Struthio camelus: one gene and its partner. The protein of the gene in region 2 purifies or fractionates together with the protein of the main gene of each other region. This does not show direct contact. Links are inferred from orthologs where the notes say so. Each region holds a gene or a part of one and is shown on either strand. Other genes may lie near its edges. The genes, in order: STX18 and SCFD2.

Region 1 (7,812 bases), about 15 Mb from region 2:
GAGCTATTACCCAGAACATAACATAAAAAGAGTATGTCTGGGCTTAGACTTTGCATAAAATATTTCAACATTTCCATACTTCATTGTCAAATGGAGATCTTCAACTATTACTCAACCAAATGCAGCATAACAAGAGCTCCGACTACGTATAAATTATTCAGGGTCTCCCATGTTATTCTGTGTGGGTTCTGAACGTCATTTTTTGGGACGAGTTTTAAAGATAACAGTAGTTAAAATAAGAGTTTGATATGTTCTCCAGATTTAAAAAAAAAAAATAAGTAACTGTATGTAGGCAGAGAAGGATTCGCTGGATTTTTGGGGGCTTTTAAAACTAGAAACCTGTTAAAGAATTAATGTGTATATCAGAGATTACACTTGCAAGTTAAATTGCTTAATCTTGGCAGAAGCAGCTAAACTGCTGCTAGGCTATAACAAGCAAGGCTATAACAAAGTATTTGAAAGAAGCTTTCGAAAAATACATATTCAAGTCAAATTGTATTTTGCTGAAGGAAGCACTCAAAATTATGATCAATTTTACTACAAAACCTCCCCTTTCACTGTAGTTTATATGCTGCGTTTCCCCATTAGAATTAGATCTTAGAGAAGGCCTAAAAAGCTGTCATAAATCCTTCTCCGGTCTGGTAGGTTGTTGGCTCCACTGTCACAAATACAGCTAAACTACAGGAGCAGAGACAGACCAGGCCCAATCTATTGCACTCTCTCGTACTCACTCAGCAGCAGTTAACAGGAATCACGTTCAAAGGTGCTCAGCAACACATTTTTGGCCTTACCTTTTTCTCCAAGTCATCGTTTATGCGACTACCACCAGTTAAACTCATTCTCCTCTTCCCCTCAAAAAGACTGCTCAGTTCATCCACTGTGGCATTAACTGTTTACTTCACCCTTAACAAGCTGCTGTAATTAAACAGATGCTTTTAGCCATATCTTTGCCCTTTCTATTGCCTGGACAGTGCTCCTAGGAAACTAAGAAAGGACAAGGAGCTCAGATAACAGAAGACAAGCAATAATAAATGTGAATAGGGGCAAAAAAGGAATAAGGTAGCAGAAAAAGTATACTCCTACAGCACGTCATCACAGCACAGGACTATGGCTGGGCAGCGAGGAGAGGATGAAGGTGAGGCTGGGCCTGAGTACGAACAGAACTTGAGAAAGACGACGAAACCTGGGAGGCAGCAAGTTCAAGGGAGCATTGGTGGCAGGAAGGGAAGACAGAGAAGAGAGGGGTGAGGAAGAAGAAGCGGGCACGGATCCAATCTGAGGCTATAAATTATTTGAAATACAGACTACTTCTATGATCAGAAACCTAGAAATATGGAGAGAGGCTGAAGCGAATGCAACTGCAGATAAGGAACCAAAGCGCAGACACAGACAGTACTGGAAGCAACGGAGCAGAGGGTTAAAGCTTTGGAGGAAGCGAATACAAGGCTGTGGCTATACGAATATCTAGGATGGAAGCCGACAATTCTCAAATTTCTCCCTTGCTCTGCCTCAGCAAATAACTGCAAAACACTTGGGCAGAACATCTGGACACTGTCTAGTGCTAAACCCTTAGAGGATAACAACCTGCTGCCAGCATTAGCCCAAGCGCTGGAGTTCTGAATAGCAGACTAAAAGTTGCAGTCATGTTGATGATGTAGATAAATGTCAATATGATGCCATGTGATAAAATTTCAATCCTTTTTAAAAATTCTAGGAATTCACATACACACAAATCGTGTAAAGGTTGCCCTGTTCTACTGCAAGTCTAAAGCAGTCTGTTCACTCTAAGGCTGCAGAATTTGAAATAATTTTAGCTAAATCAGCAGATGCCCCCCCAAAAAAAAGTACATCTCATGATCAAAGATCTTGAACGTAGTTTTACAGACTGGTCTTATCCCTACAGATAGATCCCTACCACAGATCTCATAGCCAATATTAAGCAAGTCACTTAAATCAACTTTTAATAGGGGATTAATAACTATATGTTCATTTAACATATACCCAAGTTGTCACCCTTCTTAAGCCTCAAAGCAATCACTGAACGACTTAAAATAAAACTTTAAGTGTTATAAAACACATTAGTTATAAAACACTATCTCTGAAATTGGAAAACAATAATTAAGTAAGACCTAAATTTAACACTAATCTCTGTCCTTGAAAACTAAACCATTCAGAACTCAGTAAACGTCAGAAACAAGACTGCCTGTGTACTCGTGGTGTAGTCCTACACTTGCACGTGCATCATGACGTGGTTTTTACACCATTATATGTCATTTTCTGTAAGAGTTTTCTCAGACAGTGCCCTGAACAGCCTTTTCCTGTTAGTTTGAATTGCAAAGTTTGGTCCAGTGCCTTAACCCAGGTGCATTACTCAAATCCCACTGAGACATCAAAACTTTTTCCCTACCATTTGCTCTGTACGGAGGAAAACAATCTACAAGAAATTTGCTTTTACAGCACTACTGCTGATTACGGATGTTATCGTTCCTGGTCAGTTTAGCTCCGTAAGCCCTCAATTCCTCAGTGCTTAGCTTTTCAACTCTTAAAATGTTCTGATTAGGTTTTTTTTCCCTCTCTCTTTTTTTTACACATGGCTCATCTAGAAATGGCACTGCACAGCCACACTGCGCAACAAGAAGAAAAACCTGAAGAGAGCACGCATATATGTACATACACATATACACACATACACTGCAGCCCCTCCCGAGGCGGCGGCGGCGGCGGCCCACGGCGCAGGAGAGGCGGGCGCGCCCCGCGGGAAGCCGCCGCCGCCGCCCTCGACAAGCTCCTCCGCCTCTCCGCGGCCAGGGCAGGCGCCCCCCAGCCGCGGCCCGCGCGGGGCCGCCGATGCCCCCCGCCCCGGACGCCTGGGCCCCCTCCTCCCCGGGGGGGGGGGGAGGGGAGGCGCAGGGCGCCGCCGCACTCACCACCTCACGGGCCCGGCTGGAGAAGTCGCTCTTGGAGCGGGCCGCGCCGCGCTTGAGCAGCTCATCCCTGGCGCTGTCGCCGGCCGCCGCCACCCCCAGCGCCTTGTTGCGGGTCTTCACCGTCTTCACGCTGGCCTTGAAGAGCAGCGTGATGTCGACGGCCATGGCGCCGCGCCGCGCCCCGCCCCCCCCCGCCGCGCCAGCCGGCGGCCGGTGCCCCCGCGCCGCCTTCCCCGCGCAACGCGGCACCGGCGCGCGCGTTCCGCCCCGCCGCAGAGCGCCGGCGCTTCCGGCTGCGGCGCGTGGGCAGGCGGCGGGCCGGGCCGGGCCGGGCCGGGGCTTAGCGGCGAGGCGGCAGCCTGGCTGCTGCCTCCTCCTAGCGAATGGCAGCGTTTGCAGAGCGAAACACGAGCTGCGTTTCGCCACCGGAGCGGGGGGAAGGGGGCAGTTCAACCTGATTTCATTTGTCTTGGCACTTGCAGCGGATGGGCAGCTGCGCTGCCTGGCAGGGCCCTGCCTTTGAATCCCTGCTCTCCGGCTCCTTCGGCCGCAACCACATATAACTTTAAGAACATAATTCGGTCTCCCAGGGTTTTTTTTTTTTTTTAACCCAGCAGCTACCTGGGGTTTCCAGGGTTTTGAATGAAAGGAAAACACCTGGCTGTTACAAAATTACCTCCCTTTAAAGACCTGTCTACGCCTGAAAGCTTTGGCAGTACAGGGACACTGCCCGAACCCCCCAAGTACACGCACACACCCCCACCAGCACACGCTTCGTTCTCTGCGCGTACAGTACTCCAGTTTAGCAAGTGAAATACTTCTTATCAACTGCATTTTCAAGGAGATTTGGCTAAAGTAGCTATGGCACGTTTGAAAAAAAAAAAAGTCATTCCAACAAAGCGTTGCAGCCTAGACCACCTAGCTGGGGTGTCACGGTAGGTGTCACCAGGTGGAGCTGTTAGACATACATAGTTTTCCAAGTTTATAGCTTGTGCATGGAAAGACAGGTTAATTAGTTGATTAATACACAACAGCAGATTTGCACTGGGATCTGGGACTGGTACTGGTGTGAGATTTCTGGAGGAAGTAGTCATATCTGTATGTATTTTGACTATTCATTCACAAACTGTATAAATAAAGTATCCTTGTTACACACCTAGGATGTGCAACAAAGATTTCTTCTCTGGGCGGAAGCTGATCTTCAGGGTCCATGAGGTCTGACACCACTTGACACTGGGACAATGTCATGTTGGTACCCAAAAGATATCTCACACTGTGAATTACAATTCACATTAACTGATTCTGAAGAAAGCTTTGTGAAATAACCTTTGCTACTATTATTACTGAGACAGATTCATTACCGTGTTCTGTCCACAGGTAGACAAGCTACTTGAAAGGAAATCGCGTGGCTCAGAGGGGGAAACTTTTGACCACACAGCCGCTGGTGGTGTTACATGTATGCCACAGCGCCCCGGGATTCAGCAGATGCTATGTACTTTTTAACTTAGCTCAAACTGACCAGAAGCACATTTCCTCACACAGACTCCACAGAACAGACCTTCAAAATTTTGCCTTTCCACAGCAAACTGGAACTTAATGAACTACGCTTATTTTTCCTACTTGCTCCATAGTAACAGGCTTTCTTCCAATATTATTTAGTACCCTGCTTTCAGTTCAGTTCTCTTCAGTTCAGTCTGAGCTGTAGATTAGTGAATCCTTCACAGTTACATTGTGATTAGTATTTATTCATACTTTGTTAATATTGTTCTAATCTAAATTGTGTTTTTATGGCAGTATGGATATGTATTTCTAATTAAAAGAATATACACTTCAAGTCACTGTCCTCGGTGCTGGATTTATAGTGAAAACATATTAAAGATAGATATTAACAAAATGGACAACTAAGGAGACTAGACTTTTCATTCCAAGAATGCCAATAGTATTTGAGTAAAACTAGAGCCAAACACCTTTGCTCTTTTAAGATTAAGAAATACAGTATGGAGATGCTTTAGCAAAGTACGTATTTAATAAAGCATGGAATTTACATTTAAATTAGATACTTTCAGGTATATGTCCTGAAATTACTTATTTCTACTTTGCATTACCAAAAGCAAAGCAAGCACACTTAAAATTCCAGGAGTGTCTCACACTGATCACAGACATGCCTAATCTGAAACTCACTGAAGACAATTCTGACATGTAAGTTTACCATTGCTATGTGTTAGGATAATTTTCAGATGCTTTGATTCTGCCATTCTTAGAGTACTAATGCCTCACTTCACAAACACCTTACTTCACGGACATTTGCACAGGTAACTTCTTGCCAACAGTAATAAGAGCTTCACAGCTTGGCCCAAAGTAATATGGTCCTGAAAATGTAAGTGGCAGAATTAAATTGTGTTTTTGTGCATACTCGGCTGTATACCGTGTTCCAGTGTTCAATGAAGTTAACATTTACACTGACTTGAAATATTGCCATTTGTTTAAGTGCCCATTGGATAAGAATGTTTGTTTTTTTGATTTTAGAATGTTGCTTTTGTACATTTAAACTGTAAGAATATCAAAGTCATTTTGAAACTTGAATCTTCATCTTACCTTCCTGGTTTTAGAAACAACAGCTTACTGGTGCCTGTCATCTTATAGTTTGTTCATTTTCTAATGAAATTTAGGTACTTATAAATAATTAAAATATTGTATATGATTTTGGATTAAAAAAAGAAACTGCAGTTCATTAAGGCAAAGTATATTCTAAAAAAACACAGTATAATTTCCCTCCCAACTTTGCAAAGACTTATACACATACTTAATCTCTGTGATACTATGAATACCACTGAGTTCAATAGAGCCACACATATCACATACGGTTAAGTGCATAACCCTTTTATCAGATCAAGATGTTGGCTGTAAACTCTTCAGGACCAAGACTGTGTCTTTATTTCTACTTTTACTTATTTATTTGGGCTTTATGTCCACAAACAACAGTGTGCATGTGACCAGCAGTTCCTGAAAAACACCCCAAAACAGTAACAGTAATATTATACAGGCTATTCTCGTACTTATACAGTCTTAAAACTTTCACTCAGGCACAAGGAAATAAATAGTAATGCATTTTTGAAAAGAAACACAGTATTAACATTCCTTACAGCTGATCTCATCTGTCAGAAATGGACTGAACAACTAATCTGGTAAAGGAAAAAGTTAAAATACCTTTTTAACCTGAAAGAAGGTTGCTCAAATGGTCTAACTCATTAGGTATATAATACCCAGGGCCTCTGCTGTAGAGATAAATAGATAGCTTTGAAGATTACAAACTACTTTAAAATCAGTTGCTAAGAACTGGTGCCCAGAGCTTTTATTTGAACTTGATCCTAGCTTCCTGTATACAGTAACTGCATCTACTCAGTAGTTACTTGCACTTCCACAGCCACCTTGTTTTGAAAGTATAAAGCTAACTTTGGAGCAGATAGGTTTCAATAGTACATGCTGGTGCTTCCTGTAATTGCTAAAAAGGCTAACCTGGAAATCTAAGATTTTTAAGGTTGGAGTAAATTTCCAAAACACACACAAAGGTCTACAGTCCCACCATAAGTGCTGCAGGTAAATGTGTAAAAATGCACGCACTGGGCACTCAGTCATGCCTCAGCAGAAGCATGCTGGGAAGAGGAAGAGATAGGAGTTTGCAAAGTATAATGGCCTTGTACGCAGCATGAGGACTGCATGATGATCACCAGGTCTTGGTGTACCTGCTTAACAGGCATGTCCAGTAAAATGCTTCGGGCAAACCTGCCAGTCAAAAGGAGATCAAAGCTTTGCTGCAGTTATCAATCAATACGTCCATTCAAGAGGGGCTGATGGGTTCATCTCTGCTCAGAGACAGGTAACTTCATGATTAGTTAAGTTCCTTTTACATGAGAGGTAAATGGAAGGGATAAAGCTCCTGCACTTCTTTCCTTCCAATGCAGTCCAGCTACTAAGGTCCTAACTTGGCCCTGACCGCAGAAAACTATACCCAGTGCATTTTATATGTTCTCTATTTTTTCTGGCATAAAAACAGTAACTTTCTTTATGTGATGATAAGGTTACAAACTGAACCAAATATCAAAAGGAAGGCAATTTCGCTTACAGTGCACATTTTTAATCACGACAAATCAAAAGAGGAGAAGCTGTATTTGATGATTGTTTAAACTTCTGAGCCAACAGCATGCGTGCTGATTGGCTTAAATTCAAAGTAAATACAGCAAATCTGTGGATGTGTAAAGAAATCTTCTCCAGTGTTTAAAAATAGGTTTGCAAAAGAGTGCAAACTGTACAAGAAAAGTACGTTCACTGTATGCAGTGATAGGAAGTGCTGTGGAAAGAATGGATCTGAACAGCATGCTTATAAGCAAGTTGTATCGTCCATGGCAACAAATACACACTACTAGAAACTGGTCCAATTGGCAGTAACATCAAGGTTCTGTTATTCCTTCTGAAACTAGACCATTAGTATTCACACCAAAAGCGAAAAAAAATAGAAACTCCTCATTTAGAACGCCTTTTTGCCTTAAAGTATTTTAGTATATATGAAGTTTACAATATAAATACAAGAAAAAATGGTAACTTGATTTTCATATTTTTCAGAGGCATATTTAATTCTTATGTACATTATATATGAAATCATTCTGTCACTCCTAATGTGGTATATCCTATCCAAACTACATCATCAAAGGAGATGTGCGTGCATGTGTGTGTTCACTGCAATTAAACTTAGACTATGGAAACTTTGAAGAGCTGGCTTCTGTATGCAGGAAGAATGTTCAGGAGACCAATTATTCATCATGTAAATTGAAACACTGTCCCTGCCCTTAAACTGTGGTATGTAAAAAGCAGTTGAAATTCCAAATGA
Region 2 (7,124 bases):
TTAATCAGTATGTTTCAAAGGCACCTGGTTTGAAGCAGTAGCGTGACTTAAAGAGTAGCCCAGCATCTATACTTAATGAACTCTCAGGCTTTTATGGAAGAGTTTGGGGTATGAAAAGCATTATGATAACTCATAGATACCTAACTATTTCTCATATCCGCAGCCCACATGTTGGGCAAGATTTAGGTATCAGTAAGATATCAACAAATCACATCCAAAATCCTTCATCTTCAGAGGGAGGCAATTTAAGAAGTTGTTTTAAAGGAGCCCCAAATCAGAAAGTCCACCTCAAAGACTTTCCCCTGCAACTGGTTGTTACATGAACAATACAGCTCTATTTTTACTCTGCAGACCACAAATATGTATCACAGCTTGAGAAATCCACCGGCCCAGTTGCCAGTGCCAAACCTGAAAACAGGAAGCCTTAGCTTTTACAGTGTGTAAGGCTGAAATCCTACAGACAACACTCATTCACTCCCAGGCAGAGCAGTAGGGGAAAGACTATATCAAAGGCTGCACGTGCCCAGGAGATTAAGGTTTCCCACACAATTTAATCCTGCCATTTCCCATCTCCTGATGACTGATTTTATAACTTAAATGCTGCTTTTTATGCACTTTTTACTGCCTGATTTCTAGCAAAACAGTGAAACAAATTTCATCACATGGCATCAAGTTCACATCCATATAGGGCTTTATCTTTGAGACCTAGTAGATTTCTGTCCCTTGAGTTTGGACTCCTCCTGATGGCATGAGCCTGCTGCCATGTCCAAGCAATTCAAAGCAAATGAAGGCTTCAGTGAAACCATCAATGGAGTTCTAAAGACGTTTGCTGGCACCAAAAGAATGGTTATATGAAGGGATTTTGAAGTCAGTTATAGACACTGGAGAGAATATATTTGCAAACATGAATGCTTCTGTTTCTCATCCTTACTTCAGTTTTTCAAGAGTTTCAATGTATCACCTACAAAGCTACCCCACCACAGTCCTGGTTCATTCTCCCAGCAACCTCCTTTTCCTGAAAGGCAACATCCGAGATTTCACAGATTCAAGCCCAGTACCGATTACATCCCCTCATCTCCCCTCAACAGTCTTTGTCATACAATTCCTTACCACCAAAATAGCAGTTCATTTTCCTGTCTTTTTTCTTTCCTGCCTCCCGAGCACGTGAATCTTTGCTCAGTTGCATTAGTTGCCACCCCAAACAGGCACTGCCATCACAATTCCATTACAAGGTTCTTTACCCGAGTCTACTCTCCTGTAACCTTCTCAGTAGCTTTCCCAAACCATAACACAGCATTAAACAGCCGGTTTCACAGCTGCTTTTCAGCACATCATTGACAGCTAGGAGCTTCACAGCAGTGTGAAGTTACGCAAGAACAAAATCAAGCAGGGAGGGAAACATCTATCAGAAACTGGTGTGTTGCAGGTGTGACATAGTGCCGTGCACTTGCAATGGGTCACATGGTAAAGTCATGACCTGAATTACTGACCATGCAGAATGCAAATGGAGCATTACACGTTCTGTAATAACACCAACAGTATGACGGAGCAAGGGTGAACGCAGCAGCTCCTGTATCAATTATTCTCCGAGTTCACTCTTCTCTCCAGAAGATGGTTATTCCATAAATGAGAGTCTGATACAAACTTCTTCCAGGTCACTGACCCTGCACCTTGCTGGTGCCTTGCTCAATCACACTTTCCCTTTCTGTCCTTTTGATATCACATTCTATCAACTTATAAGACATCAGATCACAGGATTAGCTTACAAGTTGATTACTATTCGAGTCATCCTCCTTCTACTAGTTTCTAAGTGGACTATTGAATCACCCTCTAAATTTCACAACTTTTGCATTATTATTAATTGGCACTATTAAAATTAGCATATGGTTCATGCTTACACTTTTGCTACCCAGAAAGGATGTTGTATAAACAATTCCGTATTGTTCTCACTGATGCATACTGTTCTCGAGTTAAAGTAAGGTACCAGCCATGTGCAACTGCATCACTCAAAGGGCAACTATAATGCTTTAGGGTATAATATGCATATACACATATATACACACTGAGAGCTGTCTATTTAGTGCATATACAGAGGCACACCTGTTCACATACACACACTGTAAAGGGTGGTAAGCATGATACATAGAGAAATAGTTCACAGTAATCCACAGAGCGTGAACTGAACCCTGCAGAACGTTTCCTTCACACCTTGGAACTGACACTTGGGCACAACTAAGGTCTCCAGCTCACTGCAAAGCAGAAAGGGCAGAAATAACTTTCCCCCACCTGCCCCGTGCATTTCCAGCAGAGACTTCACTCTTGGTTTCCACGATGTGCTGCAGAGCAACCACGGCAGCCAAGGCATTACACTTGCCCACAGGCCTCGTGGCCTCCCGCAGCCATCTGAAAAGCTCCCCACCGAGCAGCCGGGGCCCGGGGGGTTGCCAGCCCTCGCCGGTGGTGGGTTTCTTACCTGCAAGGTCCAGCGTCCTGTCCACGAAGACGACCGAGGCCCTGTGGAGGGCTGTTTTCCTCCTGTTCCTGGCCGGGGCGTAGCTCGCCAGCTCGGCGGCCACGACCCTGCTGAGGGTCCCCACGGCGAAGCTCTCCTCCCTTAGGCCCAGGGCGGCGAAGAGGGCGTCGAGGCCGCCCACGAGGGCGCGCACGGCCGCCCGCAGCTCGGCGGGCAGGGCGGCCAGGCCCAGCTCCCCGGGGCCGGGGCCAGGCCGGGGGCTGAGCCCGCCGCCGCGGTCCCGCTGGCGGGGCAGCGGCGGGAAGAGCGGCGCCAGGGCGGGCGCCAGGCACAGCTCGGCCGAGACGGGCGCCAGCAGCGGCGCGGCCTGCAGCACCACCTCGGCGCGGCCGCCCTCGCCCATCCACCGCCGCAGCGTCTCCTCCAGCTCGGCCCGCCCGCCGCCCTCCGCCTCGCCGGCCGCCACCAGCGCGCAGTGCCGCACGGCGCCCTGGCCCAGCACGCCGCGCACGGCGGCCGCCGCCCGGCCCCGCAGCGCCCCGCTCACCACGAACACGGCGCGGGCCGCCCCCGCCGCCGGCCCCGCCAGCGCCCGCACGGCCAGCGCCCCCGCCGCCAGCAGCCGGCCCGCGCCGCCGCCGCCCCAGTGCAGCGCCTCGGCGGCCGCCGCGTCCAGGAAGACGACGGCCTGCGGCGCGCGGGCGAGCACGGGCTCCCAGGCCTGCCGGCAGGCGGCCCGCACGTCGGCGGCGGCGGGACCCGCCATGGCGGGGCGGCGGGCGGGCAGCGCTGACAGCCACAACACTGCACACGTGCCGCCGCCGCGCAGCGCCCGGCGCCGCCGGACGACGTGGCGGCCCCGCATTGGCTGGCGGCGGGTGGGGGCGGGGCAGCGCCCGTAGCCGGGGGCTCGCGGCCCCCCTCCTCTCCCACCTCGCGCGCTGCTGTGGTAACGGCCCCGGCGGTGTCGTCACCCCGCTCGCCTGCCCCGGGCAGCGGCCGGCAGGGAGGAGGAGGAGGAGGAGGGTGAGGGAGGCGCGGCCTTGTCCTCCGAGGGGGGCGGCTCGCGGGAAACAAACTGCCGGGCTCGGGCTGTGAGAATGTAAAGCGTCTCCTAGGCAGTTAAGAAGCGTGTGTACGAGCGCGCAGACAGACGGAGGGACAGACCGGCCTGAGGTGGAGATCAAAGGAACAAACAAACAAACAAACCCTCCCAGTAAACAGGCTATTTTACAGTAAGCCGTTGCCCCGGTGTAGTCCTTTTGCACAGCCACCACTGTGAAGGCCCAGCCAAGGGAATGGCACATGAACAGGAAGGAGCGGTCACGGCCAGACGGGAGAGGAGGAGCTGCTTTAGCCTGGACATCTCCCGAAAAACTATTCACCAATCCATTCAGTGGTTTTGTTATCTCTTCGGGGGGGGGGGTGTTTTCAGTCTTCCCCAAGACTTAACTTCAGCCACTTCTCAGGTCTAGGTTTGTTACTTGGCCACATGAACACCCTGATAGCAAAAGCAGTAAATCCCTGAGAGGTGAGAGGGTAGCCCCCTGCCCACCTTCTTTTGGTGGCAGTGCCAAATTCTGTCAATGTAAGCTGTTTGTGAGATCATGGTTTTCTGTAGTCTACAGTTTACATTAAGAACTATACTGCAGCCTGTAGTCCTAGCCAGAACCAGGAAGGATGTCTAAGCACTGACTGACAATTTAGTTGTGCCTAACATACTTTCTGATAAGGCTAGAAACCTCTTCAGCCTTGCTACTACTGGTAAATGTTAAAAGGACAATTCAGTGCGCCATTTAGGTCAGGATAACTATTGTGCTGGGTCAGTATCGTTGTTACAGTGAGAGAACCACCATTTTGGTGCTTTTTTTAAACATACAGCACTGGAAATCCGAAACTTCCCATCACCCTTCCCTGTCCTGGAATTCTGTATTTCTTGTATTAGTATTAACTAATCCAGTGATTCATGACCTAGCAACAAGAAATATTCTCTTTTATTACATTCAGCTTTTATTATATACAGTTGGAAGCATTTGGCAAATTAATTTAATCTATTTCTCCTTTAAGAAGCTGTTGATAACAAAATGAATTTCAAATCTAACTAGAAAAATGCAATAATGTGCATCTGCAGTTAAGTTTCCTCTCCCCAGAGACTGGACAGTTCACGCTCTTGCAGATCAGTGCTCCACATAGTATTTCACTCGGGCAACCTCCTTAACCACAGAGTTAGGAGGATATTTTTTTCTGAAGTTTAGTGGGGTTGTCAGCCATAACAAAAAGATAACTGATTAATTACTCCATTCGCTATCTCAGCTGGTCTTCTTAGGTTTCTTGCTGGTTCAGGTGGTTTCAGAATGCTGAAAAACATAACTAATGTGGATTAGGCTTCCACTAGTGAAATTAAATTCCGTTGTTCCTGTCTAACCCATGCACATTCCTACATCTGATGCCTCTTCCAAATCCCTACTTTGGGCTGTTCCAACCCCGATCTGTTATTTTAACCTTAGGGTATAAAACTTGATTATGCTAAAAAAAAGTAAGATCATAGCTTTCCGGACTATTTTGATTTGAAAAATGAATGCCGAGAAAGGACTGGTGACTGTTAACCGCTGAGCCCCTGGGCTTATACACAAGTAGAATTATCTCTAAATATCTCTGAGGTTTTGCTTTATTTCTGAGTGTGGCAGACAGAAGCTAGATATGTTATGGCTTGTCCAACTTTGGAGAGATATTGTCTTGTTTTAAAAAGTTTTAATTTAATTGTTTTCAGCTATACAGTCAAAGCAGCAGATGCTCTTTCAAGGAAATAAATAGCTTTTTTACTTAATAAATACAGTATAGATTGCAACTATTTCTGCATATGCCAGTTTTGGAAAAAAAAAAGAAAGACTACTAGCCCGAAGACAAAATTAGGTCAATCAGTGTAAAGCATTTAACCACTGTTAAATTACAAAGTAAACTTATATTAGTTGGTTTTATAGCTTATTTTATCCTATGTACAAATCTTAAGCTTTTGTGCAAAAAACAGTATTAAAGATTTCCTGTACACTTGAAATCCTGTTTTGTGTTTCTGTAGGGTAACCCATGAGTCAAGATTTACATGCAGCTTACAAAAGACCCTTCTTCTTTCCTCAGCCAAAGCTGTTAGTTACTTGGGACCTTCAGAGAAGCCTGTATTTCAGACTCCAACATAACTCCTGCGTAACAGCAGGAAGAAACTGCAAAGTCCTTTCCAGAGGCATATATGGAAATGATGGGGCTGATGGGATTTCCTGACGTTTTAGGGTAGAAGTTAAAAGACCATCTAGCCCAAGATTCTGTTTCTGGAAGCAAAGGGGAAAATGGGGTCAGAGCATCTCTTCTGCCCAACGTGGGCCAAAGTAGTGTTGGGGGGAATGGCAGCTGTCATCGGGCCTTAGCCTTGTTTTGTGTGGGCTTCCACTAGATTCAAGCTGCTTGGGAGATTTTTTTCAGATGAACTTCGTTACGTGGCCAGCGGTTTGATGTGATGACCATTTAAAGGTATTCTATCAGCAAAAACACCTTGTCAATCTGTACGACACACTTGAAAAGAGACTGTGTTCTGCACCTACTCCTGATTTCTCTCAGTATTTGTGGTGTTTTCCACAAAACTACTTTCTTTCTTCTTCCTTGTGTCTGCGCAATCAAAAATAACAAAATATAGACAGTTCTGCTTCCTCTAATGTAGCCTAAGGTCAGAAGACTGTGAAATGGTCAAGTAAAAACGAGAATGGAAATAAATAAAAAAAATTAAAAAAAAACGAGAATGGAAATAAATAAAAATATTGATGCCCTGCAAGAGGTATGATTGTATAAATTTGCTTTATGACAAACAAATGCCTACAAATGTTTTAGAGCAAAAACACCTTTGTTGACTCCACTCATGTATAAACAAAAAAAAGGGAATTGTGTGATAAAAATCCTACTCAATTGTAGCATATCTTTCATGATCTGTACATGGCGTTGAAATATTTAAAATTTACTTCAGGAGAAAAAATCCCTTCTGAGAAGGTAAGGTTTATTCACGTGAACTTCAGTGAAATGTTACGCCACAGGTAAAACTTTAAAACAAGGTCTACCACGCAGACAGTTTGAAGAAAAAGCTCCCCTGCCCCCAGTGTTGTGGTATAATACAGTCAAGCGCTCTAATCCGATTTTTCTCAGGTGGGCCTCCTGTGAGGCAGGGGTACTTTCTCAGTTTTCACAAGCATCCTAAGACAGTGAAGACTCCATTTGTACCTACAACTGGCCAAAACCTGTTTTTTAGAGTTTTTGGTACTTAATATTTCATAATGAATCTTAACAGTTGTTGATGCAACATTCACAGATGAAAAGAGAACAATCCATCACTAGAAATGGCTTGCTACTTCCCGCTGCTTTTAAGATGGAGCAATTTCTCGGTGGAACGCCTAAGTCCACTGTAACTTTTTCGTCGCGGCACACTGCGAATGTGCGAATTCTTACCGGAGCTTGGGAAAAAAACCCAAATAAATCGGATGATTAGCGGAGGAAAAGCGTGTAAGGCGTTGTTAAACCCCGCAACGTTACCTCCAGCCGCAGGGGCCCCAGAGCTGGCAGCCAGGAGAGGCGGCAGCGCCGCACGCCCGTGCCGCGCCGTCGCTCGTCCCCG

What was found.
Region 1: the proteins of SCFD2 (region 2) and STX18 purify together in Homo sapiens (co-immunoprecipitation; 3 studies listed by BioGRID and IntAct, counting the BioPlex papers as one, with this or other methods). This does not show direct contact. The link is inferred for Struthio camelus from reciprocal best matches to the Homo sapiens genes SCFD2 and STX18.

The regions. Positions count from the first base shown.
Region 1 is NC_090945.1:72,822,413-72,830,224, forward strand, and holds the start of STX18 (syntaxin-18), read right to left. Parts: upstream 3,142-7,812; 5' UTR 3,093-3,141; coding exon 2,928-3,092; intron 1-2,927. UniProt on the Homo sapiens protein: Syntaxin that may be involved in targeting and fusion of Golgi-derived retrograde transport vesicles with the ER.
Region 2 is NC_090945.1:57,348,422-57,355,545, reverse strand, and holds the start of SCFD2 (sec1 family domain-containing protein 2), read right to left. Parts: upstream 3,240-7,124; coding exon 2,474-3,239; intron 1-2,473. UniProt on the Homo sapiens protein: May be involved in protein transport.